3 linked regions of the Kluyveromyces lactis genome follow. The main gene of each other region encodes a partner of the protein of the gene in region 3 in a complex. Links are inferred from orthologs where the notes say so. Each region holds a gene or a part of one and is shown on either strand. Other genes may lie near its edges.

Region 1 (10,211 bases), on a different chromosome or scaffold from region 3:
AGCTCTTGCTAAGGAGCTAGGGATCCCATTCATTGAAGCCAGTGCCAAAGACGACACCAACGTCAGCGAAATCTTCTTCACATTGGCCAAGTTGATCCAAGAAAAGATCGATGATGGTAAGATGGAAGGAAAGGCTGAAAAGGAGGGAAATGTAAGCATTCGTGGCTCAGGCTCTTCAGGCTCCAAGTCCAATTGCTGCTAAACCACAGATCAGAGCGTACAATAAGAAATAACAACCTATGCATTGGCTTTGTGTGTGTACATATATATATATATTCAAATGGTATGTATTAGAAAGTTCAAAGGTAACTTTACACGACCATTCCAAATCAGGTGATTTACACGTGACGTAAATAATCACATGACCATCTCCACGTGCCACTCAAGATCAATATAAAATTGCCCAACTTTCCCAATATAAGGGCATCGATGATTATATAAAGAGTGCATTAGAAGGAAATGCAAATAAAGAAACAGATATAAGGATGGACTTAAAGATTTTATTTAGCCAATAAACAGTTGGGTAGATTTCTATTTTCTTGTTCAGCTTCCTTGTATCTTGAATTGAGAAGTGTAATCCTGATCACCATCTTCAGCTTTATAACCAGGAAGGGTTGCTGTTTATTATAACCCTTATAATATTGTCAAAAGAGGGATTTGGTCTTTTTAAATTCAAGGCACAATGCTATTTGGTGTGAAGCTAGCTAATGATACTTATCCCCCATGGAGGGATTCTTATATCGATTATGAGAAATTGAAAAAGTTGTTAAAAGAGTCCGTTATCAGAGACTCTGAAATGTTCAATGGTTCTTCTTCTGGCCGTGGGAAGAAGGGGAAGAAGGGGAAGAGTAATGTAGATGAATATTGGAGTGAGAAGGATGAATCCAAATTTGTTTCCGCGTTGGATGAGGAGTTGGAGAAAGTTTATGGATTTCAAACTTCTGCTTACAATAAGATTATGAATACCTTGAATAGGCTTGAAGAAGAAACTGAAAGTGAAGAGAATCTACATACGATTGATTTTCAGGCGTTCCATCAACAATTGGAAGAATGTTTGAGTCAGGCCCAGGAATTGGACAATTTCCAACGTTTAAATTTCACTGGTTTCACCAAGATTGTGAAGAAACACGACAAATTGCATCCAGGTTACCCATCTGTCAAGTCATTGTTACAAGTGAGATTAAAATCGTTACCGTTCCATTCGGAAGAATACTCTCCATTGTTGTACAAGATCTCTTATCTATACAACATCTTGCGTAACAACTTCTCATCTGTATCGAAATCTTTGGCTAACTCATCAAAACTTTCCTCTATGCCAAAGAACGAACAGATGTCTACACAATCCTTCAAATTCTGGATTCATCAAGATAATTTAATGGAAGTGAAAACTAATATCTTGAGACGTTTGCCAGTGTTAGTCTATGCTCAAGCACCCTCTGAGAACGAAGACTTGATCGATAGATTGGAGTCTAATCTTTTGAATGACGACGGTGGTCCAGCAATGTCCAGTTCCAGTAACGAAACCGATGTGGGTCATTTGAACAAAAGTTTTGAACCTGTCATCTCCACGCTATATTTCGATAACGAGTTCTTCGAATTGTACAACAACAAGTTATTGAAAACCAACTCTGCTCCAACTTTGAGATTGAGATGGATTGGTAAATTGAACGACAAGCCGGACATTTTCCTTGAAAAGAGAATGTTTGTAGACAACGAGGATTCTTCTTCGACCGATTTCGATGAAACAAGGATTAAGTTGAAACCAAAATTCATCAATGGATTTATTTTCAACGGTGATACCGAATATAAGGAAATGATGCTCAAGAAATTGAAGGAATCCGGCTCAAGCAACGATACTACCAAGAAATTGGAAAACAATTTCGATTCCATCCAACAATTCATTCTTGAAAACGAATTACAACCAGTTCTAAGAACTTTATACCAAAGAACTGCATTCCAAATTCCAGGTGATGACCGTGTAAGAATCACTATCGATTCAGATATCCTTTACATCCGTGAAGATTCCTTTGACAAGGACCGTCCAATCAGAGACCCTCATCACTGGCACAGATCTGACATTGATTCTAACGTGGCCCATCCATTGAAATTGGTTAGACCTGGCGAATACGCTAAGTTCCCATACTCTGTTATGGAAATCAAAGTGAAGACATCTGCGTCTTCTATTGCCTCATCCGAGAATGCACTAAGCGTTCTAGCCCATGGTGGTAACCAAGTGAAATGGATCGCTGATTTAGCCAATTCCCATTTGGTGAAAGAAGTGCCAAAGTTCTCCAAATACGTACAAGGTGTGGCCTCATTGTTCGGTGACGATGAAAAATTGGATATGTTACCATTCTGGTTACCAGACTTGGAATTCGATATCAGAAAGGATCCAAACCAGGCCTACGAGGAAGAGAAGAAGAAATTAGAAAGACAACAGGAGCATGTCGCCAAGATGGACAAGATGAAGAGATTGTCAGTGGTAGCCGGTGGCGGAGACCAGTCTTCACCAGCTGCACCATCGACAAGTGCCTTGAACGAAGAAGACGAACCTGAGGAAGACGAAGAGTCTTCCGAGGATGAAGATTCTGCTACCTTGGCCAGAAACAAAGGGAAATCAGATGCAAGAAAACAGAAACATCGTCATCGTCATGAACCTAACATTTTCAATCTTTTGACAGGTAGAGACACCACTGACAGCAAACTCACCGGTGTCGATTCTGAAGACGAAGAAATTGAATTACCACCGGGTGTCAAGAAACCAACAAGTTACATCAAGAACGCTGGTCCTGTGAAAGTCGAAGCAAAGGTATGGCTAGCCAACGAACGTACGTTCAACAAATGGCTCTCAGTGACCACTTTACTCAGTGTGTTAACCTTTTCCATCTCGAGTTCTGTGAAGAAGGCAAACATGCCATTCTTGGCCGAGTGGTTAACTTACATCTACTTTGCATTGACTGTATTTACTGGCCTATGGGCGTACCAAACCTACATCAACAGAATAAACGTCATCAGAGCCCGTAGTGGGAAACACCTTGACGCACCATTCGGACCTTTGGCCGTCTCCGTCATCGTGTCTACTACGCTAATAATCAACTTTGTCGTTGCATTCAGAGAATTAATCAGAAATGGCCACACTGATGATCCAGCTACTCCTGCGTTCATCGCTAGCGCCGTAGAAACCATCGGTAGAATCGCGGGCCCATAGTTCCCAAATTGAAAATAGACAATAGACAATAGACGAGAGAGTGTTTTTATTAATTTATACACCTATGTAAACTATCATTCCACATCATTCCATCTAATAAAAGTTAATGTAGTTAATGCCTTGATAATAGACCAATGGTATGTCCACTTGTCTAATACCTAGTATTCATAGCTGCCAAAATCAGCACGTGACCAACTTTTAGTTTTTTGATCGACGATATTTCTCAAATTAAAGGCACGTGACTAGCGGTTCCCGACTCGTTCCGAAATCATCCGAAAGGACCGAATGACCGAAACTGGGAAACCGGAAACTTTAGTTTCAACCATTAGAAAAGTATATAAGGGAATTAGTTAAAGAATATACTCATCAAGACAATAAAGTCTGTTTACTTTCTTGCCTGCTTCATAGACAGGTCTTAAAAGTCCGACTGGCAAATATTTCTGGTATTTTGTTAGGAAAGCAGGAGTTAAAAGGCATACATACAGTTGTTATTATCAAACCATGTTCAAAAACGTTTTGAAACCAGGAATTGTTAGTGGTCTAAGACCCCAAGTTATGACCTCAAACACAAGAGGTTTGATGGCTTCTTTTATTCGTCGTCAGTCTAATGTCGTCACCAAGAAGACTACGGCTCAAGAAGAGTACGAGTTGCTAGTTTCTCAGAGAAAAGTTAGACCAGTGTCTCCTCATTTGACCATTTATCAACCACAATTGACATGGTATTTATCGTCCGTGCATCGTGTTTCCGGTGTTTTCTTGGGTCTAGCGTTCTATGCAGTAACTATTGCGTTCGGTGTTTCCACTGTGTTCGGTCTAGGAATGTCCACAGAGAATTTGGTTCAATTTTATAACGAAAAGATCCCATCCTGGATTGATTTGACCGCAAAGGCTGGGTTCGCATACTTGTTTGCATTCCATTTCGGTAACGGTATCAGACATCTGATCTGGGATACCGGTAAAGAGTTGACCTTGAAAGGTGTCTACAGAACAGGTTACGCTGTGCTAGGATTGACTGCTATCATGGGTTCTTACCTATTAACATGGTAAGAAAATTTTCTCTGTTCCCTCACAGACGCTTTACTCACACATTCCTTTCTCAGTATGTACACTTCTCTATATCAATGATCCAGTTATTTATTTATTCTAAACTTTGAACCGCTTCAAGCGGCTGTAGTTTCATATTCTTACTTCCCTTTCTTCTTCTTCTCTTCTCAATATACTAGGTATTCCATCTTTTCAACATTAAAAACTCTTTATACTTAAATACATTGAAAACTTATCAGTTATAGTTTGGAATGATGATGAAATGGACACACCACAGGCCAAACACAGGGGTATCCATGAGTCAGCCCAAGATTTTCAGGAAGAAGAGACAGGAGTCTCGTTACCACGGTGGGTCGCAGTCGCGGTACCAGCCAAATAGGCCTAATAATCATCATAATACAGCTGGAAATGTTAACGTCAATCGTTCTTTGGGGAAAAGAAATCCAAGAGGTAAGTTCAACAGGCCCAGTAATGGACCTGAAACGAGTGGATCGAGGTTCGAAGGTCATGGCAGTATACCTAGGGGCCCCAGGGCTATGGGGTCAAGTGCAGAAAGCGCTGGAGATTCTCATTCAAGAAATATTTTTGGCAAGAAACCTTTGGCATTGATATCGTTTCAAGATGTGAAATCCAGCTTCCAACCGTTGGCACAAGTCGGAGAAGGTACCTATGGGAAAGTTTATAAGGCGGAGAACGTACATACTGGGAAACTTATCGCTTTGAAGAGGCTTAGGTTGGAGCAAGAGCGTGATGGGTTTCCAATAACTTCTATTCGTGAAATTAAACTATTACAACAGTTGAACCATCCAAACATTAGTTTGATCCATGAGATTATCGTATCGGATAAAAATACAATTTCTATGGGATTCCAGTACATGGAGAACGATTTGTCAGGGATGTTAATGGATAAATCGATCCAGTTTTCCGATTCCAACATTAAGCACTTGATGAAGCAATTGTTCGTTGGGTTACAGTATTTGCACCAACAGCAAATAGTACACAGAGACATCAAGGGATCGAATTTATTGATAGATAACAGAGGTAACTTGAAGATAACAGATTTCGGTCTTGCCAAGAAACTAACGGACGTTTCTTCTCCAGCCTCCAATACCAACAGAGTCATTACGCTTTGGTACAGGCCTCCCGAACTACTTCTAGGGGCAACAGACTATAAATACGAGGTGGATTGTTGGGGATGTGGGTGTCTCTTAGTGGAATTGTTTGCAGGGGCTGCCATATTCCCAGGTTCTAACGAAGTAGATCAATTCCAGCGAATATTGAGCATCATGGGAAGTCCGACTTTGGAACAATGGCCCAAGATGTTAGATATGCCGTGGTGGTTCATGCTTGTACCACAAATATCTAAGACTTACAAGAACGTATTCTTCGATGAGTTCAGCAAAGTACCGCAGGATGCCCTAGATTTGGCATCCAAATTGTTACGATACGATCAGGATACAAGATTCACGACAACTGAAGCATTACAGCATCATTACTTCACAAATGAACCCAAACCACAACCTCTACTCTTGGGACCCGAGTTCAAAGGTTCGCACGAGTACGAAGTGAAAAAGATCAGAAGGAAGGAGCGCGAACGCCAGAAGGAGACCACCGTTTAGAGAAGAAGCGGGGGTTTTCCTTTGATCTCATTTTCTCATTTTCTCATGATCCATAGATATTAGGTATACGTTCATATATACATATAGTGTTACAAACCGATATTTATCGTAGGCATGTATCTCATACCTCATTTCTTTAACATTTCATCTTCGAATACACGGTTACTGCCGATGAAAGTGCTGGCTTGGACGGCTCCCAGTTTCGTTATCATATTGCTTTGGTTTGCCATGATTTCCACTTGAGCCGTTGTCTCATCGAGATTCTCACGAAGTTGTTTCAAATGTGCTGCTAGTCTCGCATATTGGCGCTGTTTGTTGTCCATGGTAAATATCAGTAACGTGGATGACCTTCCGAGTAAAGATCTTGAGCAATATCCTTTGGTACTTCTGTTTTAAAGGTTCTCTGCTATTAGTGGATGCAATTTTAAAGATTCAATGTTTTGATTTAAGTGAACACAATTGACAATCTCATCGAATTGAATCATAAATAGATGTGATATATGAAACAGTACTGCACAGTACTGAGCAACAGTGGATATTGCAGCACCCAATGTCACGGCTCAATGATCCAGTAGAGCTTTTACAGCAAACCCGGTCCAATTTCATCATTGAAAGCGATGTCTCTAATATTAAAGAGATCAAGAGTAATATGAGACAGCTCACGAAATTGATGGCTGAGAAACAAACACACCACAATGAGCTCATGAAACAATTGCAATCACAGCTGCAAAGACAGCAAACTAAAGTGCAGGCACTTAAAAAGAATTTTCAGGAGCAAACAAGCCAAGTGAAACGCGTAGAGGACGAATTAAACATACCGAAATTGCAACAAGACATAGATAAACTGGTACAGGAAATTAACCAGCTTCGAGATACGATACAAGAGGGTATTCAAAAGGTCGTAGAAACACAGAAACAATTACTCAATGACGATACTGATGCTGCCCACACGATTGATGAGGAACCGATCGGTAAAGATGACAAGATACGTGTGCTAAAGTTGAAGTTGTTCCATTCCCTTGACGTAGCACTATATAATGACCAATTGCTCGATCTAAGGAATGAAGCCCGTCCATTATCATCATCATCATCATCTCACAACATCTGGGATGAACTATGATACCTTGATTTTATTCACTATGTACAGGGGCTACTTACTATGTAATAATAGAAGTTTTTAATGATGATTCATCCAAATCAGAAATGACGTGGGTTTCTTCTGATGGAAAGCTTGGTCCATTTGGGAACTTTATGTATACCCTTTCTATATCCCTTCGAGTACCTGTTGAATACACTGTACTTATCAGTAGCAGACATCTCCGGTTCCTTTGGGAAATACTGAGCCTTGTCTAAAATACGTAAGCTCTTCACACGAGGTTTAATCTTACGTAGATTCAGCTGAGATCCCTCAGAAACCGCCATATGGTTTCTTTCAAGATGAAGACCTAACTTAAGAGTTGAAAGAACATCATCAACGCTTCTCAAACGGTCTCTTTGTCTTGCTTTTTGAGGACCAGACATACGCCATGGGACTTTCCATAATAATCCACCTAATGCAGGTTGTGTAGCTCTGAATGCACCGAACATTTCTCTATGAAACAAAGATATTCAATTGACCCGGGTATGACAGAACCTAACGAGCTGCTTAAACAGTTTGTATAACGGTGCTACTGGCTGGCTTTTACCAATTTCCCACCGTAATTCATGGTATTAAATCTTTTAAACCTTCGAAATTTTTCAAAGTATCCATGAAAAAGCTTTAAATCTCAACATTATGCAAATGAACAATGTCAACTGATTTAAACGATTTTGGGGAACAGCCAGCGTATTGTCATTTGTAGCTGCTGCTGTGTCCATAACCATAGGTCAGAAGTTCTTATAGTACTGGAATACTGCACCACAAAGATAGATTATTCATTTAGAAATGTCAGAGGGCGTTGGAAAGCATAATCAAAGATTACCAATTTGGGTATTGAACCCTACCGAGGAGAAAGAAGCTCGTCAGAATTTGAAGAAATTTGCATATGCACAATGTGTAGAATACGTGGAGGCCATGGTCGAATGTTCAAAGATTCATGGATTGAAGCTTTTCCCAGCGTGTAACGAACCTCGTGACGCTATGCGCAAATGTATATTATCATACCAGAAGGATTCTAATCTGGATCGTCAACGTGACTTGATAGTGGAACGTAAGATTGAGAGACTTGAGGATCTTCTCAAGAAACAAAAGGAATAAAGTTGACATGATATGACATGACATGACATGCCACTGGGGTTACTTGTATATAGTAGTAGATACTGCACCATAATAAATTAACATTTTAGAAAGGCACATCCATGATTGAAGTTTATCTGCTTCATTGTTTCCCATTATAATTATAGTTTGTACAGGTGTTCAAAAGAGTAAACTAGTTTACATTAAGTCTAGAAGATCGGTTGCATGGGAATTCGAGGTGTTGTTGTTGTTATTATTGGTTTTCTGTGAAATGTTTACTTTCCCCATATCACCAGTGATATCGAAAAGATCATTTAGTTCGTCCAGGACGCCTGTACTTCTCGTGGCAGAGCTATCACCCATGTCAAGTAGTACATCATCGTTCATGTTTTTCAGGATCTCGTTCGTGGCCATTCCCTTTAATTCATCAATATCCTTATCCTTAATGATGTGAACTTCGTTGGGACGGCGTTGCATCTGCGAGATTGGTTTGAAATACACAGAGGATAGAGTGGAGAGCTCTTGAAGTAGACTTTGTAATGTTTCCTTGGAGAAGTGGTCCAAGGTAGAATGCAATTTAGGAATTTCATGCTTGTCAAATAATTGGTTGATGATTTGATCACCGTTGTCGATCGATAGACACCGCCAGTACATCATGGCCATGTCTCTAACGTCCAAATCGTGGACGTCTGTCGTACAAAGTTCCAAGATCTTCTGTAAGAAAGCACTTGAGACTGCATTATGGCATTTCACTACACCCATTAGAAGGGACATTTGAGTTAGGGATCCTAATTCATCGAAAACTTCTACCAGTGGTTCAAGCTTAGTTTCCAAATTTTCGTTTGTATAGTTGGTGATAAACCAGATGTAGTTACAACTGCCTAGATCAGATGTAAATATGGTATCGATATCTTGCCATGAGGAAATTATGGCACCCAACTCATTCTTACTTGTTTCCTTGATAAGATTGTTGTCACTGTCATAACGTAACATGTCGCATACGCATCTCATCAATATATCCCTAAACTCTTCTCTCTCCTGGACAATCGAAACGAATTCTTCCATGACCATATTCAAAAACTTGTTATTCGTATCTTCACCTCCGTTCGAGACTTTAATGGCCAATTGTGAGATGGATTGGATAGCTTTGGTCACGAATTCATGATCAAAGTCCTTTGCATATTCTTTTAATTCGTTGAAAAGCATCTGGCAATGTTTCAAATTATCCACGGGCACTAATCTGAGCAAGATGTCTAATTTCTCTATCTTCACGTACAATGGATCATTAAATTTGACATAGAATATTCTTAACTCTTTCCTTAACAAGTTTGGGAAGGCATCCAAAATAATTCTTATATTTCTCAAAGCAACATATTGGATCTCCACTGGGGTCGACATTAGTGAGACCAATGCAGTTGATAACTTGTTGTATATAGAGTCATGGACTGTGTTCAAATTTGGTAGATGTATGAGTATACATTTAACACTGATCAAGACCACTGATGGATTTACGTGTTGCAAATGTGGAACAACTCTATCGATAATTTCTTGAGACTCCATAGGGTCAATTGGTTTGTGTTCGCTCAATGACTCCAAAATAGTGATTCTTGCCCATTCTGTACATTCGTTCAACACGTTCAAAAACCTCTTAACGTTTTGAGATACTAATTTCTTGATATCTATTGAACCAGGGTCCAATTCGTTAATTTCGTGCAGTGCGGCAAGCGCGTTGGCAACAACCATTGGATTATCGTCAGACAAAGCGTCTTGCAAATCGTTCAATACGCCCAATTCACGGCATAGGTCCGGGTTCAATTGGAACAATTTTGCAACGCATAGTACCGCGGTTCTTCTCACGTACGGATTATCATCGACTAGAGTCTTTCTTAGCGGAATCTCAATGTATTCCAAGATCTTATCAACTCTGATCATCGACATGGTACGGATTGCCATAGACCTAATCAATGGGTTCGGATCAGCTGCATCGCTGACGAATGTGTTCACGACAAGGATGCATAACTCCGGATGAGTTTCTGCATAATTAGCCACGTAAAGGTATACCAATTTCTTCTGTTCAATGTCTTGAGTGGCTATATTCTTCAAAACGTCGGGAAACAAAGATGAA
Region 2 (10,977 bases), on a different chromosome or scaffold from region 3:
TTAGTTTCCATGTTGAATGCAAATTGGATGACTTGGAACAACCCTTTCTTGATTAAAAATTTGTAGAAAAGGGTTTTTTCTATTGAATTTAGGTTTTGGGAAAGTTGGATGCATTCATGTAATAGTTTTATACCGTCCCTTCTTTTATCTGGGGTGACGGTTGAATCCTCCTCAACTTTATACATCGAGATGACTTGATTAATAAAATTGTTGCTATCCTCCTGTAGGAAATCTATTATGGAATTCTGGTATGACAACATTAGGTCAGATATGAAGGTGAAAGATTGATCATCCAAAAATCTAACTAGAACCACATCTTTCAAAAATTGAAGCCTAAAATTTTGCGTAATCATTAATTTGATCGTTGGATCTGAGATGGGAATCATTTCCTTGAAATTTGGCTCCTTATCTTTCAAATATTGTCTATGGTTAAGTTTTGAGTTTGGAAATTCAGTATCATATTCCAATATACCGCAAACGCATAAAAAGTTTTCATCATTGATCATCTCTTCCAAAATCTCCTTGCTGTTGAACAATATTAGAGTTTTCACAATGTTGCTCAATAATAATAAATTTCGATATAGTTTAGATTCTTCTGACTGATAGAATGATCTGATTAGTGTTGCTAAATAGTGATCGTTGATAACAAATTGAATTGTCTCATTTCGCAGATAATCAAATGACGTGTTTTCGTTTAGAATTTTCAATGCTTCTAAAAGGGATTCTTCTGTCTGGTTTGGTACATTTGAGGGAAGATTGACCGGTCCTGTTATTATCTCATGAACAGACCCGATTCCATCATCTGTCGATCTTACAGCTACCAAAGAGATGCGGCTTTCAATGTTTTTCTGTACAAAGCAAATATATTCACATAAAGAATCGCATCCAATGCTTTCTTCAAAGGATAAAGCTATATCCTGACCATTCAGATCCTTCCAGACAATAAGAGTTTCCTCTTGACGCTGGTATTCGATGTTTTGTTCGAGCCTGGACTTAAGTAAGACCTGGTCATCGGAGTCTTCATCGACCACCAAAAGATACGCCATTTTCTCTGCAGTCTGAGTGTCATCTATAGTACGCTCTTCCACTGTCCCCTGACAAAACCCTGTCCCAGTATCCTTCCACTCGTTATTTTCCAACACATAGACTTTCACGCGTTTCTTCTCAGTGTATACCGACTGTTTGGCACCATCCCCAGAAACATGCATATTGTTAGATTCAGACATATCTTATATTATGCTGATCGAAGCCCTAATAAATGGCAAGATCTCGTAAGCTCTTTCTGCTAATTGTGACCTGACAAAATAGGTTCAAAGTCTTGTAAGCAAAAGTTGCAATGCGTTAACAACCGAGTGAGTCCGAAAGAAAACTTGAATGTTTACACTTCGTCGAAAGCGTCAGTGACTTCTTCCAGTTAAAAAAAAAGGACAAAGAGGATTAAACACAAGCGCTATAAGAGCTTTGAAGTAACAGATTCTTGTATGTTCAATATCAGATTATCCTCCCCTTCCGCTTAAAACCCTCACAAGACACTGCTTCTCTTTTATTATGGGGTGAGATGAGATGCCCTGGTCAGAAGTCTTAAATTGGATAGTTTTTAACTTTGTTCTTTTTTTTCTTCTTCTTGGCCGCTAAACGCAGTGATAAGAAAAAAGAACAGTTTTAAGGCTGCAAAGCACACCGAGGGAAAGAGGACATCGTACTGAAGTTCGATCATAATTGTTTAACATACCGCGTTAGCAAATAAAAGTGTAGGCAGTGGTACTGTACGTAGCAAGGATGTTAGCTATAGATATATTTTTTAATCGATCAAGCAAAGGCGATCTTTTTCCTCTTCAATTGAAGACGTTTATTTCATTACGTACGTATTTCTATTTCTTTTTTCCTGGTTCCTATATCCACAGAATGACCCTGCATTATACTTTACAAAGCAACTTTACGCCAGCCATCACGATTTGGGGATTGAGGGTTTAAAATTCATTTCTCGTAGGTCTCATACTTAAGCTTGAACTGTTTTCTTTGTTTCGCTCTTTCCTTTCTAATTTTTCTCAAATCTGGAGGTGGTGTGACGTTTAATTCTCTTCTTAGTTCGTCTATGTCCTTATCCAAGATTTCTTCCCAATAGACATTGATGAGAGGTTTGCAATTCAGCCCTGCTTTGACTGCCCATGGGAGGTAGATGGAGTAAAGTCTTTCCTTTTGCACTTTCTTTAATCTCAATGGTGCTAATAGAGCACCAAGTGCAGCCATTGGGACACCAATGTTTGATGCCTCAAATGCTTTAACTGCAATCTCACCTTCGATTATGATTGGTAGGTCATTTATTGCATGATAAAAGTCATGGCATTGTCTATATCTCTTAAATATGAAAGCATGGACAGGATCATCGATATAAGTAACTGGTGCCCTTGTGTCTGGAGAGACCCCCTCTTTCATCAACCATTTGTAGTACGTATAGCCAACTGAATTTTTATCCATCTTTGACAATCGTTCCATGTCAAGGCTTTCCGATGTGATGTTTGGTCTGTCTTGTAGAATCCTTCTACCAGTCTTATCTAACAACATTGTCCGTTTTAAACTTTCAAGAAAGCAAGGTAGAGCAGTAGCTTCTCCTAATTGAACGATGTTCTCACCGTTCTCCGGGTGGAAATAAGATTTTAAACCACTGATACCGAAGAGCATCATTCGCTCATACCACCAAAGTGGAACATGACCCTCATAATTAGGTTCTATCGGTCTTGTGTTTCGTAATGCATTTAACCTTTCTTGAGTCCTTTGTTCCATCTTATGCTCATACTCTCCATTTTTATTATGCAGATTCCCTTTCTCCATAGCATCTGCTAGTCTAACATCTTTCCCAATCAATAGGTCTCCAAAAGCTGCTATTGCAGTAAATACGATTGTTCTCTTGCTATTATTCAATGGACTGAAAGCGTTACGACTTGCTTGTAAGGATTTCTTACTTACAGTAAACATTTGCGGTCGTCGTCTGATGCGTTTAATAGCACACTTTCCCTAATAATAAAAAGCTGTGTCCCGGAGTACAACTCGTCAATTGAGTCAAATCTAGAATCTGTGTAAACCTTGATCCTAATCCACGCCAGCAATTTCAATTACAACCACTTTACAATTTTCAATGATCTTCCTTTATCTCTAGTTAAAGTATATGTGGGTGAGTCGCATCAACTTCAAGAAAAGGTTTAAATTTGAAATATTCAGAAGAATCATCATACGAAAAAGGCAAAAGAATAGTAAAAAGGTTGACAAAGGAAAACGCCCATCTTAGCAAGGCTCTTGCTATCTACACGCTAAGGGAGCTTTGCTACATTAATTCTCAATTGCATAAATCCGAGATGACTACGGAATTATATAATGATGGGGCATATAAAAATGCTCCTACATATGAGGAGAGCTCTTTGTTACAACAGACATGGTTGATTAAAGAAATCATAAAGCCTGAGCTACCTAACGTTATGGACCATGTTGAGAAATGCATAAACCAACTATCTAGTCCTGAGAAATTTCGAATGCCTCTTACCAATGGGAATAGTGTCTCCGTTAACACATCAGGTGCCGCGCCAGACAGCACATCGATTAAAGGGACAATCACTAGACAGGCCGGATTTATAGTGGATTTTCAGGCTATCATTAAGCTTCCAGACTTTAGCAGGGGTAAACCAATAGTTCTAAAGATGGACCTTGATAAACAATTTCCCTTAGTTCAAATAAATGCCATAATTACAAATTTATCATCCGTATTGTCCTTATTTGACGAATTACAGCAACTTTCCGAATTACACGATATGAAACTTGATGATATTCATACTTTTCACAATAAAATTGGGAAAATATTGGAGTTACTTACACAATCTATTACATTATTACAAAATCCTCCACGAGAATTGGTCTTTCCGCATAATAACAACAGCTTCTTAAACGACAACTTCTCTGAATCTCATGACATTTGTGAATCAGCACATCATTTGGTCAATATGGAATTAGTGCTATTCAAAAACGAGATTTGCTTGGACATTAGGAATTTGACAAAAGTCATTAAAAAACCCTGGAGTGAGATCGATTCGAAAACTGGGTTATCATTCAGTGATAAAGTCAGAGACAGGCTGAAGCAAGACAGAAATGGAAAAATCGCAGAGATCCTTAAGGAAGAAGGCTTGCAAGTTGAACAAACATCTATGATAAACAATTTGATATCCAGTTTTTCAGCAACTGAAAGAATCACTCTTCCGCAAGCAAGCGATCTATTGGCTAGGTGTGTGACATTTAACGGGCGAGTTGTCACTGAATGCGAGAAAGTTTCAATTACCACCAGCGATCCTACATTGATTAGTGTCAGTGCAAAGTTGAACGGGCTTGAAAACAAAATCAGCAATCACTTTGTAAATATTCAAAATTTAAGTTAACAATGCGATAGATAGAGAGTCGGCGTATGCTTATTTATCTCTCTTCATGCAATTCCTGTATTCTTTGTATCAGTTCTTCTTTACGATTCTTTAAGTCTTTGAGACGTTCCAATTCTTCATGTGTCGAGGATACTATTACAACTGGATCCGATTTCACATTATCTATGATGGGGTTACTTTCTTGATTGTTGAATCGTAGTTTATTCAATTCGAATGTTTGTGATAGAGTGGCCCGCTCCCTTTCCAATTTGGTTAGAGCTTTTTCCAGTTTACTATATAGTTTTTGTAACAATGGTTCTATATCCTCCATCAAATCAAGTCTGGCCCTCTGCACATCATATTCTGATACCAACTGGAATACCCTCTTAGTTTGTAGCATATTTATAGCAAGTTTAGTGCTTCTATCTGTAGTGACCTTAGATACGGTTAAACATTTCGCCATGTCATCGACACATGCTGCTAAAGCATCTACACCCTCCGAAAGTACCTCTTCCATTGTGTCAAATCAGCTCAAATAACAATGCCAAATTATCACAGTGCGTTATCCAATTACAATCCTGCCGATCTATGTGAAGTGTTGTGTTTTCATGTGTATGTTGCGTAATGTTTGTTTACCTCTTTTCTATGTGGTGAATTAAAATAATTGTGATTGAAATTAAGTCCATTCTTTTCTCAGTTTCATGATTTTAGTATTATCTTCACAGAAGTGGTAAAGCAGCTTCAGCAGTATTTGCTACGAGGCAGTCTCTCCATTGAAGTGAATCAGAAGCCGAATAAGAACTTGCACTTTGCACTACCTTTTTTTGCATATGGTTTAATTGGGTTCTTATAAGCAGTGAATATGACTGAGAAACAAGGAAGTCGATTGGATCCTCTTTCAGCAAACCAGAGTAACGATAACACAAGCACATCAAAAACAAAAGGAAGAAGAGCTCGTTCCAACTCAAGCAGCAACGGTTCTTCGAATGACAACTGTTTGAATTCAAGTAATGACGCTCTTAATAAACTGACTTCCGCTGAAGATGAGAGAACACAGGCCAGAAACAAATACACACATGTTTTGGTTCTAAAATCGTTGAACAACACATTTGAGACTAAATTCTTAGTAGTTCCATTCAAGCCCAGTGGACTAAAATTGGGACGACCTGTCATTGGAGCTTCAAATTCTGGAAGTAACGGAGGACTTTCCGGCAAAGCTGATCCACAGGTGAAAGCTGATAATGGAAATTTTGATTCTAGAGTGCTTTCAAGAAACCATGCATCGTTATCGTGTGATGCTAAAACTGGTAAAATATGTATACGTGATCTGAAATCATCTAATGGTACTTTCGTGAATGGTAGTAGGATCGGTCAAACTGATGTTGAAATCAAAGTGGGGGATGTGATAGATTTAGGGACGGATATAGACACAAAGCTTGAACATCGTAAAATAAGTGCATTAGTGGAGGACATTTCAGTGATACCGTTGATTGGCGAAAACGATAAACTACTAGTATCAAATAAACGAGATTTCAGGAGTACACCTGCAAACAATGGGATTCCAGACCCAATGGTCACGATAACAACTGCTCAAAAAGCTGCGTTCGAAGCCGCCATGTTCGGAGATGTAAATAATCTTGACCTCGAAGATGCTGTATTGGGGTCTGAAACGGAAATATTGAGTGGAATATTTATAAACAATTCTATCGGAACAAGTCCGAATTTGATTAATATCATCAAGACCTTAGTGACAGATCTAACACTTGAAAAGTTGGAATATGAAAAGTTGAAATCGATTGACAATTTCATCGTTAATTATATTACAAAGCTTGAATATCTATCAAAGATGAAAATGGAGCAAGCGGACTCACAACTAGTCAAACTTCAGAAAAGCGTTAAACAGAAGCTTGCGAATCAACAGGCAGAACTAACCACCATCCATAATGAAGAAATACAGGCATTAAAACAAGAAAATAAGAAGCTTAATGACTCCCTAAAGGAAAATAATGACTTGAAAAATACTAAGATCAAACAGCTAAAAAGTGAAGTTGATGAATTACAGACACGTCTTGAGGTCGAAATATTTAAAAATACCCAATTACAACAAGCAAAGTCAAAACCGGTAAAGACGAAAGACGATGGTACTGCACAATTACCAGCTGTATCAACAGGTAGTAAATTACCCAGTACTACAACCAACTTGCTTTTATTAAGTTCTATCTCGGCAGGGGCTTTGGCTGCTGTGTTTAAATATGCAACAAAGTAAAACTAATCATAAATATCATTCTTAAAGTAAAAATTAATCTAAGCATTTCTTGCAGACTACGGGTGATGCGTCTAATCAGTGTAAATGGGTAAATCATCAAGTTGAATTCTCTCTACTGTGGTAATGCCCAAAAGTTTAGCTAATTGATTCACGAATGCAACTGCTACATCATTAACAGAGGTAGAACTATCAGGGACTTGTTCTCTTATGGAAGTGGCTTTTTTTTCTGACAGCCCGCACATGGTAAAACTGTTCATATAAGACAAGTCTGGGTCAACGTTAATACAAATACCATGTGAGGTGACAGATCTTCTGACATGTATGCCAATACTGGCAATTTTTTCTTGATTAGAGACCCAAACGCCGGTATCATTGGTTTTTTGGGTAATTAAATTCAATGGTTCATCTGATCCTTGGAATTTTGGAACTACTTTTAATGCGTTCATGGCCGCGTTATCAATAGTTGAAACTAAGCATTTGGCCGGCAAGTTCTGAAATGTCTTTAAATCGAGAATGATGTATGCGACTATTTGCCCTGGACCATGAAACGTCACTTGGCCACCTCTTTCAGCCTGCACAAATTTGGGTTTTTTATTATATTTCTGTTTTGATGGAATAAAGCCTTCATATCTGGCGATCTGTTCATCCGTAATTTGTTTCTTAACACGTTTTCCGCCAGTATAAGTGGGTTCAAATTGAAATGTAAGCACAATTGGATTTGGCTTCATCTGATTGATATTATCTAGTATCATTTGTTCGTGAAAATTCAATTGTATCTCGGCATTATGTTCTTTTTGTAAGTTTGTCATTTCTCTCTTTATCTTGGATTGTAGTTGCTTAATGTCAAGATGAGCGCGTACAAATTTCTCCTGAATATCGATCCCCGTTTCAAATGGGATCTCTTTAACGAATTGCAAGTGTCTGATTGTTTTAGCTGAAGGATCAATTGGTTGCGTACGGGCGGTTGATGTGCATTTCAGAGTGGATTGAAACCGGACTTTACGGAAAATTGTACATCCAAATTTTGAAGGGTACCAGTAATTAGTACCTATCAGCATCAATTTAGACATACTTAGAGTACTCTCTGGAATCTGGCTAACGCAGAATAATTGCAGGTGGTTAAGGCACCTATGTCATTATCTGAATTGGGGCCTTTGTTTATGCGGAAATTCAGAAATGTACTGTTCTGTTTTTTTTCTCTTAACAAAGACATCGCTGAAATTTAAGAATATGAAGCACAATGAAGCGATGAGCATACAGGAAACATGTTTCATGACGTAGCTTCAGTAGATAGATCATATCACGGGGTTCAACAATGAGAAATGATGAAACCAAGTTTTCAGATGGTAAGATTTCTAGATTACTAGAGTGGCTAAATGGGTCTGGAAAATGCTACGTTAATCCAAAGATCGAGGTATTTGAAGATCCGTTAGTTGGCCGAGGGATCAGGCTTGGCAACGGTATGTTGACCAAAAATGAAGTATTAATTTCCATTCCTAGTTCTCATCAGTTAAATTTTCACACGGTGTTGCATTGGATAGCAAAATTTAATAAGAATATCTTTACCAATGATAATATATCAATTGGTGAAGCTGCAACGGAATTGTTTGATGACCAGGGCCAAGAAGATCCCAGAATAAAAGCTTATGGAATTTTCAATCAAGAGGAACTTACTGATTTCAATTCTTTTCAGCTACTATGTCTTTTTATTCTTGCAGAATGGATTCTGCTTCCGAATTGGTCTAACGGTACAATAACGTCATGGTGGAAACCGTTTTTCGACATATTTCCTACCGACGACGAATTGAGATCGATTCCTACAAAATGGAGTCTAGTCCGTTCGGATAAAAATGCATCAATTTTACTTGAAAGTCTTCCAACGGCGTCAAGTGAGCACGAAAAGAGGATTAGTCAACTTTTGCTAGCTGATTGGAATGCTGTACGAGGATTTCTTAAAAAATGGACCGAAGAATTTACTCATTCAACTATTGGCATGGATGAGTTGTTCTCGCATTTTGTACACATTTATTTTGTGATTAACTCGAGATGCCTATATATGGAAATTCCATTAAAAACTGATGTCAAAGATTATTTCACTATGGTTCCCTTTGTCGATTATTTGAACCATACTAATAAGGCGAGTCTGCATTGTTATCCGGAAATCAATAAATTGAAAAGGAATGTCTACGGGTTGGGAGAATTCTCGATTAGGGTTGGAAATCACCAGTATGAGAAGGCCGGCGAAGAGTTATTTCTCAACTATGGTGCTCATTCGAATGATTTCTTATTGGCTGAATATGGCTTCACGACTTTATGCAATGAGTGGAATTTCATTGATTTGACTCCAGAATTTTGTAATATGTTTACTGACCCGAAGGATATTACATTTTTGGATAATCTCGGATACTGGAAGGACTTCACTATATCTAAAGGGGAGATAAGTTACAGAATTCTGGTCGCTGTCTCTTTGCTAGTTCACCGTGATCACCGAAAAACAGAGAGATTCGCTCTGGGCTATATTACGGAAGAATACTTCGAGCCAGAAACTTCTTCCGTAATAAATTCATTACTTCGAGAATTAGAATTCCAATATATGTCCAAAATTGATAGAATCAGTGAGATACAGGATGATGACTGGTGCAAACGAAATCTTCTCAATTTATATGAAGGATATATAGAGATTTTACGAAGTCTTTTGTAATGCATGCTATATCCATACTTAACAAGATACTCATAACTAGCAAGGTAAAATTGTCCTCGCTATTTTTAGTCATTAAGGTATTACTATTTACAAGCTCCAAAATAATGCTCTATCTTTGGTTGACTGGATTTTACCTCTAACAAGGTTGAACACCATTTCATTCTTAGGAACAGGAATTTTCTTATATTTAGCTAAAGAAATGAAATACCCTGTTAATTGATTGATGTTAGTTTTGTTCAAGGCCTTTGAATTTTCCAGCATACGTGGTCTCATAAATCGTCTATCATAAATATGTTTGTGGATCACCTTTTTTAGTATGTCTTTATTGAATACAGCGTCAAAGTGTGGGGTACTTCGCAGGAAGGGGTAACAGATGTTCAAAATATTGATTTGCTCAGTTAATAGTTCATCGACTAGCTGTTGGAAAAAAGGGGATTTCAGTAACTCACCGTATCTCTGGCTCTCAAACAATACTGCAAGCGGCTCAACACATGAATCTATGAGGAGCCTTTCGCACTTAATCAGCATGAAAACACCATACTGGTGGAAAGAGGGTTGGAAAATATGATGACTTTTAGTCGGTTCTTTAAGTTTAGCTAAAAGCTGCATTAAAGGAAATGTTTCAGTCCATTCTTCTTTTAATGTTTTCTCATAGGTGTAATTTTTAATTCTGTCAGGTACTTTAGTAATGCTAATTGGGATAGGGTTCTTATTAATCCTTAATGTGAAACCTTTAGAATTGATGATAGTGCCGTGGTCGTTATCGACGTTTGCAATGAAGAGTTTAGGTCTTTCCTCATCTTTGTTCCATATGTACCTGTTAATAAACTCGAGAAGCCCATAACCTGGATTGACAATTAAGACATTCGAGTTGCTATCGAGACTCTTTTTGTATTTCTGAAACGTCATAGTGAATGACTTATTTGTGGCTTCAGCAACTATAAGGTTATCAATTGCTGTTATTGCACCGGTAGCCAATTTTGGCGGGGCACACGATGCCATGAACTGTCTTGTTTCGGGAGTTTTGCGAAACACCGTTAACTTTGAATTTTGATCAGTGAACTTTGTTAAAAGCTTTGAGTCCTGTAGAAGTACAACAACATTAGGAATAGTAGGCTGTGTCGGTATCTTTGCGATGTCGAATGCAAGCGCTGATGCTATATTAGATGTTCCCACTGTGTAGACACGAGGTAATGACATGATAATGCTGTTTGATCTTCAGATGTATAAAGAGAGAATGGGAACCTAATGAGTCCAAAAAAAATAATAATAATAATAGAATAAAGAGCACCAAATGAAGTTTGAATAGAATATTACACGTTCGAATTGATCTTGTCAAGTATAAAAGGCACCAGTCAGTGAAGAATACAGATTCCCTGCAATCTTCCCTCGAAATGAAAAATGCAGACACAAAAACTCTGGCAGAAGAGAATCTCAGAATTTGAAAGTAAAGAAGTAGCTACCAGCAGCCTGTATAACTTCAAAGAAAGTAAAACTGTATACTGTCCCTTGAGAAAGCTCCTTCAGGTGGTTATCTTGCATATTATCGATGGAAAATGTGCCTAATTTGACATCTCTTTGTTCATCATCTTTTTTCATAAATTTTCAAT
Region 3 (11,003 bases):
TCGATGTGAGAGACGAACATGCGCACACGAAACTCGATGAGAGGAAAATCAAACCCAAGTGTGGCACTGGTCCTTACCACCCCAGAAATTGCATCACACAAATACCGATCGTGATTCCGCACCCATCATATATTCTATAATAGAACCAAAGGCCTATTTAAAGACCAAACATCTGTTTTACTCCTCCAGAACTTGATCTGTTTAAACATCAAATTGCAGATTCTCTTTCTATTGAAGAAAGTTGTTTTTTGCTCAAAAGAGAAAAGTCGCGTCAAGCTGCATTGGACTTAAAGATAGAGAATATAGGATAATAACGTAGGCAGGGGGACCAGCATTACCATTGTGGGTGATAATATTCCATTTGCTCACTTCGACTGACTGATGGAAGATATTCCGTATTATTAAGAGGTTCAGCGTTACATTGTATACTTAAGAAAGAGAGGAATTTTTGAAAAAAAGAATGGTTCCTAGCGGGATCGAACCGCTGATCCCCGCGTTATTAGCACGGTGCCTTAACCAACTGGGCCAAGGAACCAACTTCTTGTTGTTGCCCAGCAAAAAGTAACGCTAAATGCCACAATCCCTTCTGTCAGTATGCACTTGTTTTCCTCGAGGGTGTTAAACATATTGCCCCATTTCCCTTCAATACAAGTATAGCTTCGGATGCAAATCAAGAGATTAGTAGAAGACGCACGAAATTTAAGCAGAAACTGATGAAAAATATGTGGCGTGTTCTTAACTTTCTTTTTATCCTGTACCAAACGGTCTACATATATATACCGTCTATAGAAGCACACTTCTAGAACAAACAACTGATGAAAAATACTTATGATGCGACACGTTGCTGTAGTTCATTGGCTGGTAAGTTTTATCTGCAAAGCTTATCAAGTTCCTCAATTTGTGCCTTTCTTGATATAAAACCAATTCTCTATTTCCCTTCAGGATTGACATCCTCCGTAATATGTTCAGAATCTGCTACTCCTACCGTCTCCATATTCTGTTCTTCAGACTCAAGCCCATTATAGAACAGTTTCCATATCTGTGATACGTTTTCAAATTCCTTCCCGACTGCTATACTATTTTCAAGGGTAATGTTTAACCCATTTAATTGATTCAAAATGGCATCCATGCTTTCGTTGATCTCTTGTAATATCAGACTTCTTTGCTCGATGAAATATTTGTCGCCTGTCGATAGCTGTTGAACCTCTTCTGTCATTGCTGCTTGCTATATGTTGGGCCCTCAGTGTATGCAAATCGGGACTCCTGTTATTTTCCGATGACCCTCGATATACAATGCATATCAGTTTACCTTTTTCGTGTATTTCCATGATCTAAATGTTTTAATAAAACTGTCCGCTTCTCATAAAGATACTAAGTCGTTGATGACAGAAACCTGGTGTATCGCTGAGAACCAACTGGCTCCAAAGCTTAGGTAATTGGAACATTTAGCAGCTCAATTAGACATTAAAATAGGCGAATATCGCGATCTGCGGTATTTGAATCTTCACTGCCAATTTACCTTCAAATATGAAATCAAGATGTTACCGGCAAGGATTATCATTGGCACATATACAGACGTTTGAAAGACATAGCAAATGTAAGAAACCACTAATTTTAAGCGAAATACTGGTAACCTGGATTAGCAAACGATCTTCATCTCACGCCAAGCTATATAATACGACTGACTGCCCTTTCACATCATATTCAGCTTACCCTACCGATGTTCTCTCGGATATAAAATGGAAAAAGTTATTGAATGCTTACTCTTTCACCATATTACATAGTTCTTGAAAGTTTCTTTAGCGTAAAAGGGCAAGTAAAAATCAACCAGTATATTTGGCTGGCCAAGGCATCTTCAACTCTTGGCTAGTCTCTCTAAGCTGGGAGAATAAATCTTATCAGTCTTGAACAATTTAAGTTCTGTTATCCGATCTTCAAAAATTATATCGATATAACCCTATCGTTGTTCAAACAAATACAAACCACAACAATCGACTCGTGTAGCCCGCAACTTTCCACCAGGTAACAATGCTAAAACCTATGACTTTTAGCCTTAGCTGCAAAGCAAAAACCGAATTATACTTACACGGTAGTTACGTACAAGCTTATATATAAATTATGCTGAAGCTGTATTGCACTAACAAGAATATGTCGTTTGGATGTAGTTGTAATTGAGAGTAAAAAAATTTGGTTCTTATTCAAATGATTGGCCTTAGTCGCTGACTTCGTCATCAGCGTATCTGGGCTCAATGTCAAAGATCAATTCATATTTCCGCCATTTTACGCGCAAAGGACTTTCCGCATTGCAGGCCTCGGCGTCATCTTCTTTATCGTATTCATCTAGCCAGTCCCAGTTGGAATTGAATTTGTCTATATTATCTTCCAAAAACTGCGTTAGCTGCTCTCCATGTTGGACCATAGCGGCGTCGTTAGTTAAAAAATTCCAAATATGAACTAGATAGAACTTCAAGGATTTTATACCTCGAAGGAATCCCTGATCCTCTCTGTTTGGGAAATGAGGTGCAATCTTAAAACGATCTAGTGACTTTTCTATATCACGATCAGTGACACACCTAGCGAAATCTATAATGTTTACCTTCACCCGAGATCGTTTGTTCTGAGGGTTGTCGCCATCGTAAAATAAGAGCAAAGATGATCCGTACAATCTGTATGATTTCAGCTTCGCGATTTCACTGTATAAAGTATCTAATTGTTGAATCAAGATAGGAATTTGCTTAACGATACTTCTTTTCGACTCGCCATCGTATAAGAATCTTGCTAACACTCTAGAAAATTGCCAACCGACTCTTACCTTTCTACCGTAATACTTATCCCTTGTAATGTAATAATTATGCTTCTTATCCCAAATCTTTAGCCCACATAATCTCACTCCAAGCTTCCTCGAAGTAGTCTTTTTACATTTTTCACGCTGTGACAGCTGTTTGGATCTCTTGGCATCAACTCCATACTGCCTGGTGCCCATTTTCAAATCAAGAACTGATGGGCACTTAAGCTTTCGAGTTAAGTCTTCGAGTAAGATGAATTTAGAGACAATAGTATGCGAAGTCTCTTCCACGGAAACAGATTCATGGTTGAAGGCACCTTGTTGTTGTTCGGGAGATTTGACATCTGATTCATGAACATCATCGTCCAACTTAAACATAATATCGTCATCTTCCAAGTTGCTAGGATTCACATCTAATACGTTATTTGTCGATACGGCTGCTCGCTTCATAGAATTACGCCGTAAATATTGTTCGTTGCCCAGGCCTCTTGATTTCTTATTAGAAGAAGAGGAAGAAGATCTCGAGTGTTTACATTCCTTTAGAGACGAGGAAGATCCTGTTCTAGTACGTGAAGAACGAGGACTATAACATACACCCGAGGGTTTCCGTCTCATGAAAGCTTCTTTGACCACCAATTCTTGTAATTTTGTGTTGACACTAGTTGATCCAGATCCTTGATTGGAATTACCCTTAAAAACCTCTCCTCCGTCAAAAGAACGAGACGACAAAAATGAATCTATTGGAGCACTAGAAGGCGAGTTTGAAGTCGACCGGGATGAAGAATATTGTTGATACAGTGAATTGGGTATAATATGCTTGTTGTCATCTAGCACTACTTCCGGTAGTGTAGAAATCCCTTCTTTGATGTCTTCCATTCGTGACAAGAATGTAGGTGATGCTAATCTATTACATGAGCTTCTAGATTGGTCATTAAGTGTTCTCTCATTCCTCAGATCATTACTGGAAATATGCGAGTTGTCATTAGAGGTATTAGTATTATTATTCGCTTTGAACTTGGTTGTATTGTTAACTATTTCTTCTAAGAAATCTTCCTTCGTGTGGAAATGCTGTCTGACGTTCAATACACCGATGTATCTTGGCATGAATTGAAGAAGTTCTTGATGCTCCTTTTCTATGGTTTCGTACCAGTTATTTTCTGTATTAACCAAAGCTTTGCAGACGGCTCTTTCACTGAATTTAAAGATAGCAGTGTGCCCTCCAACTTTGTTCGTGAAAGGTTTCAATTCCACCGCCAAGGGGAAATCACCGTGTTCTTCAACATCGTCGTCATCATCATCGTCAGCGATAGCACTTTCATCAGGAATTGTCTTAGAATTGAAACTTGGTATCTTATTTTCAATTCTCAGCGGTTCATCGTGCCGTTGTTGTTCTAAAGCTGTATTAGTTAACTTCCTTGGATATTCTTCATCCTTGTGATTTCTCGCAGCACCGATATGAATAGGGGGCACCACTACATCCGGGCCAAAGAGATTGACACTTGTCTTATCTTTCTCATCAATTATAGAGATATCTTTATAACTGGATAAAATGTGACGATCTTCATCTGTTAAGTAGATAGCGGACGCGGAAGTTTTTGGTTCTAATGCAACACCTTCTGTCGCATCCACATCTTCCAGCTCATGTAAATCTGTCAAATCTGTCGACTTAGTATTTTTCAAAACAGGTCGTTGGTCTACGCTGACCTTCATAAACGATTTAGGACCATGCGCGATCTCTGTCTCATTTGAGTTTGAATTAGATTTGGAGCCTAAGCCACCACCAGAATACTTCCTTAGGCTTTGATCAGGAATCGAGACATCTGAGTCTTTATCATCGAACACTCTCAAGTAATTAGCTGCTTTTCTACCATGAATTACAGAACTCTTCCTGTTCCTACTAGACTGCTGCTGTTGCAGCTGCTGGTTCTGACCACTAATTTGGGGTGAAGGATGCCGTTGTTTGTTACAACTATCGTCCATACTTAAATCCTGCAAGTGAGCCGCAACCAGAGTGGTCTGTTGTGCGGCATTTTCATTAGAGCCATGCCGTTGTACTTGCATCTGTTGCTGTTGCTGTTGCTGCTGCTGCAGGCCATTAACCTCTTGCTCCATGTGTTTATAAAACAGCCTGTAACAAAGGATTGGAAAACCAAAATAATAACAAAAAAAAGAGTCCTGTTACAAGAGATAAGAGAAGCGCAGATGAGAATGAAATCACAGAATAATATGAATACAGTACTGGCTTTCTTTGGCTCACCTGGCAAACAGCGCGAACCGATAATTGGGCCAGATTGAGGATATATCTATTAAGATGAATTGAAAGATTGTTTTTCTTTATTGATATATTAGATCAAGAAGCTTTAAAAAAAAAAATTATAACGAAAGACTGAATACTGATTAAATTGAACATGGAATAGATATCGAGATAGAAATTGAACAGATACTAAATGTCTGATGTTCACTATTTCTAAATGATGTTTCAACTGCAGGTGGCCCTAATTTCTGACATGCGAATGTCAAGATATGACATAACGTCCAGCAGCACCTGCACGCTACACTCTTCCTTTTTCAGTAACGGTAGTTTAAATTCATTTTATGTAGACAGAATATAGAGATGAGAGAGAATAAATAAAAGGTTTGCGTCAAGGTGAAAAGAGGGGAGGAGCAGTCTTTGCATGTGGGGGATCTGAACCCATGTGTGTAATGGTTTTAAATTGAAGATTGTGCCTTATTATAACCATCAAAATTTCCTTTTTTTTCCCCCTGCCTGGCATGCCTTTTTGAGTTGTAATAATAAGGGAAACGGAAGCATGTGGTGAGCATCCTTGCATGCACCATCAAATTATGTTTTTTTCAAACATCCAAATTAATATGCTCGCGTGGCGTAATGGCAACGCGTCTGACTTCTAATCAGAAGATTGTGGGTTCGACCCCCACCGTGAGTGCTTTCTTTGGATTTTACCACATCCGCGATAGTTTAATGGTTAGAATTCGCGCTTGTCGCGTGCGAGATCGGGGTTCAATTCCCCGTCGCGGAGAATTTTTATTTTTTTGACCCTAGCTGTCGTTACATCACGTGACTTTCCGCCAATGATACCATGGAATACATAACAAGTCCGGGTAAGACCGCTATATTCTCACAGAAATCAAAAATTTATTGCTGGACTCGTATATGATGATCCATATAATGGCGTTCCATCTTCAAAGATACACAGAGCCCCTTCAATTAGAGTATATATCTGGCCATATAAGCTGACTCTCTCACTCCATAACCGCAGCATTCTACTCAAGACTAGCTACAAATAACCTATACTATCCCACCCTATTCTCTCCTGGCTTCTGCCCCCCGTCTTTCTCCCTTTATACCTCGAATTTCACGACCCGGTGTGAAATTCCCAATCTTCGAAATAATTTTCAAACATATCGATTTCGAGGTTTTTTAACTCTTTTACTATTACAAGTGTGTATTTTGAATAATTTGATTAACGTTCCACACGGTGAATACTTGAATTGTATTTGCATTGAGTTGACCAGTCTACCTTTTCAACTGTTCTCTTTGTTCAACCCCGCAAGCCCAACGTAAGAAATATACATTCGAATAACAATGTTTGTGAGAAACACTGCATCCGTTGTACGTGGTACTTCCAGAAACTATGCAACCTTGAGAGAAATCGAAACCAGATTGAAGTCTATCAAGAACATCGAAAAGATCACCAAGACCATGAAGATCGTTGCTTCTACCAGATTGTCCAAGGCTGAAAGAGCTAAGAACAGTGCTAAGGAGTATGCCTTGGCCGATGCTGCTTTCTACAAGAACGCAGAAACTGTTCCATTGGAAGATGCTGAAAAGAAAGATTTGATCATTGCCATCACTTCTGATAAAGGTTTGTGTGGTTCTATTCACTCTCAATTGGCCAAGGCTGTTAGACTTCAATTGAAGCAAACTCCAAACGCTGATGTTGTTGCCATCGGTGACAAGGTTAAGGGTCAATTGCTAAGAACCAACTCTGACAACCTCAAGTTCGCTTTCAATGGTGTTGGTAAGGAAGCTCCAACTTTTGAAGAAACTTCTTTGATTGCTAACAAGATCTTGGAAGGTGGTGCTTCCAATTACAAGAAGGTTTCGATCTTCTGGAACGACCCTATCTCTTCTTTGTCCTTCGAACCTTCTAACAAGCCAGTCTTCAACGCTGCTGCCATTGAACAATCTCCTTCTTTCTCCAAGTTCGAAATCGATGCTGACAACAACGTTTCTCAAGATTTGTTCGAATTCACTTTATCCAACGAAATCTTGGCTGCCATGGCTGAAGGTTATGCTGCTGAAGTCTCTGCTAGAAGAAACGCTATGGATAACGCTTCCAAGAACGCCGGTGACATGATTAACAGTTACTCCATCTTATACAACAGAACCAGACAAGCCGTTATCACCAACGAGTTGGTTGATATTATTACTGGTGCTTCTTCTTTGGATTAAACGTAATATGAAGAAAAGAATACTTTTAATTTATCACTAAATTAGCTGGAAAGAGTTAAACAGGAACCTTCATACTGAAGAGGAAAGAGCATCCTCATCCCCTCTACAATCGCAGTTCCTTATCACCCTTTCTGCCTCTTTTTTTTTCTAAACTTACACCTATTTTCCACCTCTATCAATGAAAATGATATATTATTTGGTATTATAATGTTAAACTATCATTGGGTTTCCTTAAATTATCATTCTAAGACATCATTTCTATATTTTATGATTATGAATTGAAGAACTTAACAACAATTAAAAAAACTACTTTGAGATTTATTTCACTAAATATCTCTCTCAGAGGGCTATGAAGACGTTTACGCCTTTACATTTCCAAATGGCGATAAAGAATTATTATAAGAAACTAATATTGGCCTCTTTCAAGGTTCTACTCATATCGCACATATTGTTTTGAGCCACTTCCAATGAAGGCAATTGTTCGATCGAGTGTCAAGTTTACATATTCGGACTTTCGCATTTCATTCAACAACACTCTCGTCTGGCCTCAGATTTCTACTGTATACTGCCATTATCACTACGTATGTACCATATTTGTATGACTCTTTTAAAACAGATATATTCAATGCGAATCCCCCTTCGCCTCTCCTATGTATTATGAGGTTGCATTGGCGCATGTCTTCTGTCATTCATAGTCGATTCAGGTCTGTTTCATATCTGTATCACTGTTAAAAAACACTGAAACACTTGAATACTGGAACAAGATTATCAGATATGATGCAGTATTATTTCAGTTCATTAAACGTATATAACCAGATGCATTCATATTGCAAACTTTCAATGAGCTTTTAGTTTCAATTTACTTTCTAGTACAGTTAGGTGTAACTTAGCATCCTTCAACAAAACACTGATAAATACAAAATCATTATGTTTCTACCATTCACCTTATTCTATAAGCTAGGAAAACGTATTCCTAGGGTGCTGGTGTTAATTACTTCTTTTATTTCAGTATTTTTATTGGTATTTTTATTAGTGGGTTGTTACAACGTCGATCAGAGTTCAACGTATTTGGTGAAATATCAATTCAACGATAAATCTCCCCTATATCCAGTCATTTCAAATCAGTTCAGTTCACAGGAATATACTGATGGATTAGAAAACGTTCAAATATTTTCAGGGTATATGGGGATATGTATCAATAACATCCCATCGAATTATGACAGAAACTCCTCGAGCAAATCGTCTAAGGTTTGTTTCAACAGGAAGAAGGTAGATGACATGGACATATTTGACGATTTGACGATTAAGATTTTCAGTTTCAAGAATTCCAACTCCACAGAAGAATCAGAGTCCAGTAATTTAAATATATTGGAGTTAGCTCACCAAAATTCTGACGAACTGGTGCATCCTTATTTATTGATGGTTGTTACCATTTTCACAATTTTGTTGTTTGGAATCACAGTATATGCAATCATACCTAAATTGCCATTTAAAAATTACGTGCAGTTTATTATCATGGGTTTATCTGCATTGATCACCTTGTTATGGGCTATTGGTGCCATATGGACTCACGTTGCCATAAATTGCAATGTATCCCTAATTCCAAGAGCATCGATGAATATAATGACAGCAGAAAAAGGAAGTAAATCACAGGCTCTGTCATGGACTGCATTTACATTCATGCTCATAGACTGCTTGATAATGTGGATGGTATACTTTAGAGATAGAAAGAAGCTCGACGAGAAGCTGGATGACGTTAAGTCAACCAAAAACCCGTTCTCGAATAAATACGCATCAGATACAACTTTAAGCAGTGTATGATAGAAGCCAACGCAGCCATTGCACTTCCTAATATTATATGCACTTTGCGAATGATTATATCGTATTTTAAAGATGTGTTTCTGGTCCCAACGTTATTATAAGTTTGCAGTTTCTTTATATCTTTATTTAAATGTATGTTGAATGAATTTCCAAGTTTCTATAAATTCTCATAAGTTCGAATTCATATATCTACAAAACTAACTGGATAAAAAAGGGAAGCAATTTAACAGTATCCAAACCAATCTTAGAAGCAATTGTTACCGTTTGAGTAAAGGTTTTATAGACTGAACTGTTCAACCGTCGTTAGCACGCTTTTACTAGCGAAGACAATGTCAGATCACAACAATTTCGCCAGTACTCAGCTGCTTTTCTTAATATTCCGAACAATAGTACGGTTTATTTTAATCCCATGCAAACTGGTTACGTCTCTACTACGGAAGCTGTTCCCAGCAGGGATAATGAATCGTTTGGATCCAAACTACCGATGGAGAGATGATTATCACATTGTCACATATTTTATTACGAGCGTTTTCAAGTATGTTTGGTCAGTGTACAGCAATAGATTCCAATATTGGTACGTATTTGAAGCTCAGGTAAGGAAGGCTCCTCAAGGTTTGGCAATTAGCTACCCCAAGCCTCTATCTGTAAAAGGCGATTTCGAGTTGCAACAATTTACTTACCTGGAAACTTACAATATCGTTTTAAGGTTGTCGCATTATTTATTTAATGTACATCAGGTGAAACCTGGAGATTTTGTGGCATTGAATTTTACAAACAAACCACTGTTTATATTCCTATGGTTTGCGTTATGGAACCTTGGTGCCACTCCTGCATTCTTAAATTATAATATTTTAGGTCAACCTTTAATTCATTGCATTCAAACCTCGAATATTAGCCAAGTGTTCATTGATCCACAAGCTCGAGAACCTATGAAAAAAACAGAAGAAGACTTGAGAAAAGTATTGCCCCATACCCAGTTGCATTACATCAATGAAGACGAGCTATTCAACAATGTTTTACTCAATGAAAAGTACCCTACTCTAAGAGTGGACGACGGTATTCGGTCCTCTCAATCGGCAAAAGATTTTGAAGCTGCAATGCTAATATACACTTCAGGTACCACTGGCCTTCCTAAACCAGCAATTATGTCTTGGAGAAAATCAACAATCGGTTGTTCATTGTTTGGTAGGATAATGCGTGTCACTCAAGGCAAGACGGTCTTTACAGCAATGCCATTGTATCATTCAACTGCAGCATTGTTAGGAGTCTGTGCAATCTTTGCCCATGGTGGTTGTGTTGCCATTTCAAACAAGTTCTCGACATCTACATTCTGGAAACAAGTTTGTATGACCGAGTCCACTCATATCCAGTATGTCGGGGAGGTTTGCCGTTACTTATTGAATTCTCCGGTGAGTTCCTACGAGAAACAGCACCGCGTAGAGATTGCATACGGGAATGGTTTGAAAACGGATATTTGGAAAGAGTTTAAAGAAAGGTTCAATATTAAGATAATTGGAGAATTTTATGCCTCAACTGAATCTCCATTTGCGACCACTTCTCTACAACGTGGTGATTTTGGTATCGGTGCCTGTAGAAATTATGGTCCTTTCGTCAGTATGGTCTTGTCAATTCAGCAGTGTTTGGTGAAAGTTAACCCCGATGATGAAACCATTATTTATAGAAATGATAGAGGATTTGCTGAAACACCGGAAGTTGGTCAACCAGGAGAGTTGTTAATGAGGATTTTTGTTCCAAAAAAGCCTGAAACTTCTTTTCAAGGTTATATGGGGAACAAAAAAGACACTGAATCAAAGGTCATTAGAGATGTTTTCCGCAAAGGGGACGCTTGGTACAGGTCTGGTGATTTGTTAAAGGCTGATGCCAATGGATTATGGTATTTCATGGATAGATTGGGCGATACCT

The links.
Region 1: DAD1 (region 3) and HSK3 share a complex: the UniProt entries of both Saccharomyces cerevisiae proteins name them as parts of the DASH complex. The link is inferred for Kluyveromyces lactis from reciprocal best matches to the Saccharomyces cerevisiae genes DAD1 and HSK3.
Region 2: DAD1 (region 3) and SPC19 share a complex: the UniProt entries of both Saccharomyces cerevisiae proteins name them as parts of the DASH complex. The link is inferred for Kluyveromyces lactis from reciprocal best matches to the Saccharomyces cerevisiae genes DAD1 and SPC19.

Annotation. Positions count from the first base shown.
Region 1 is NC_006041.1:1,075,742-1,085,952, forward strand, and holds HSK3 (Hsk3p), read right to left. Parts: upstream 6,195-10,211; coding exon 6,000-6,194; downstream 1-5,999. Other genes in the region: Rab family GTPase SEC4, read left to right, coding at 1-202; VTC2 (vacuolar transporter chaperone), read left to right, coding at 683-3,208; succinate dehydrogenase cytochrome b subunit SDH3, read left to right, coding at 3,710-4,255; cyclin-dependent serine/threonine protein kinase CTK1, read left to right, coding at 4,504-5,871; kinetochore-associated Ndc80 complex subunit SPC24, read left to right, coding at 6,422-6,991; MRPL31 (mitochondrial 54S ribosomal protein mL60), read right to left, coding at 7,069-7,458; CMC1 (Cmc1p), read left to right, coding at 7,796-8,107; APL2 (Apl2p), read right to left, coding at 8,285-10,211. UniProt on the Saccharomyces cerevisiae protein: Component of the DASH complex that connects microtubules with kinetochores and couples microtubule depolymerisation to chromosome movement; it is involved in retrieving kinetochores to the spindle poles before their re-orientation on the spindle in early mitosis and allows microtubule depolymerization to pull chromosomes apart and resist detachment during anaphase.
Region 2 is NC_006040.1:1,580,333-1,591,309, reverse strand, and holds SPC19 (Spc19p), read right to left. Parts: upstream 4,918-10,977; coding exon 4,456-4,917; downstream 1-4,455. Other genes in the region: PSY2 (Psy2p), read right to left, coding at 1-1,226; ubiquinone biosynthesis protein COQ4, read right to left, coding at 1,978-2,976; RAV2 (Rav2p), read left to right, coding at 3,354-4,421; KLLA0_D18799g (uncharacterized protein), read left to right, coding at 5,263-6,666; lipoyl(octanoyl) transferase LIP2, read right to left, coding at 6,738-7,736; RKM2 (protein-lysine N-methyltransferase), read left to right, coding at 7,982-9,367; CBS2 (Cbs2p), read right to left, coding at 9,455-10,567. UniProt on the Saccharomyces cerevisiae protein: Component of the DASH complex that connects microtubules with kinetochores and couples microtubule depolymerisation to chromosome movement; it is involved in retrieving kinetochores to the spindle poles before their re-orientation on the spindle in early mitosis and allows microtubule depolymerization to pull chromosomes apart and resist detachment during anaphase.
Region 3 is NC_006038.1:600,588-611,590, reverse strand, and holds DAD1 (Dad1p), read right to left. Parts: upstream 1,217-11,003; coding exon 929-1,216; downstream 1-928. Other genes in the region: inositol polyphosphate kinase KCS1, read right to left, coding at 2,213-4,897; ATP3 (F1F0 ATP synthase subunit gamma), read left to right, coding at 6,390-7,259; FIG1 (Fig1p), read left to right, coding at 8,187-9,080; long-chain fatty acid transporter FAT1, read left to right, coding at 9,410-11,003. UniProt on the Saccharomyces cerevisiae protein: Component of the DASH complex that connects microtubules with kinetochores and couples microtubule depolymerisation to chromosome movement; it is involved in retrieving kinetochores to the spindle poles before their re-orientation on the spindle in early mitosis and allows microtubule depolymerization to pull chromosomes apart and resist detachment during anaphase.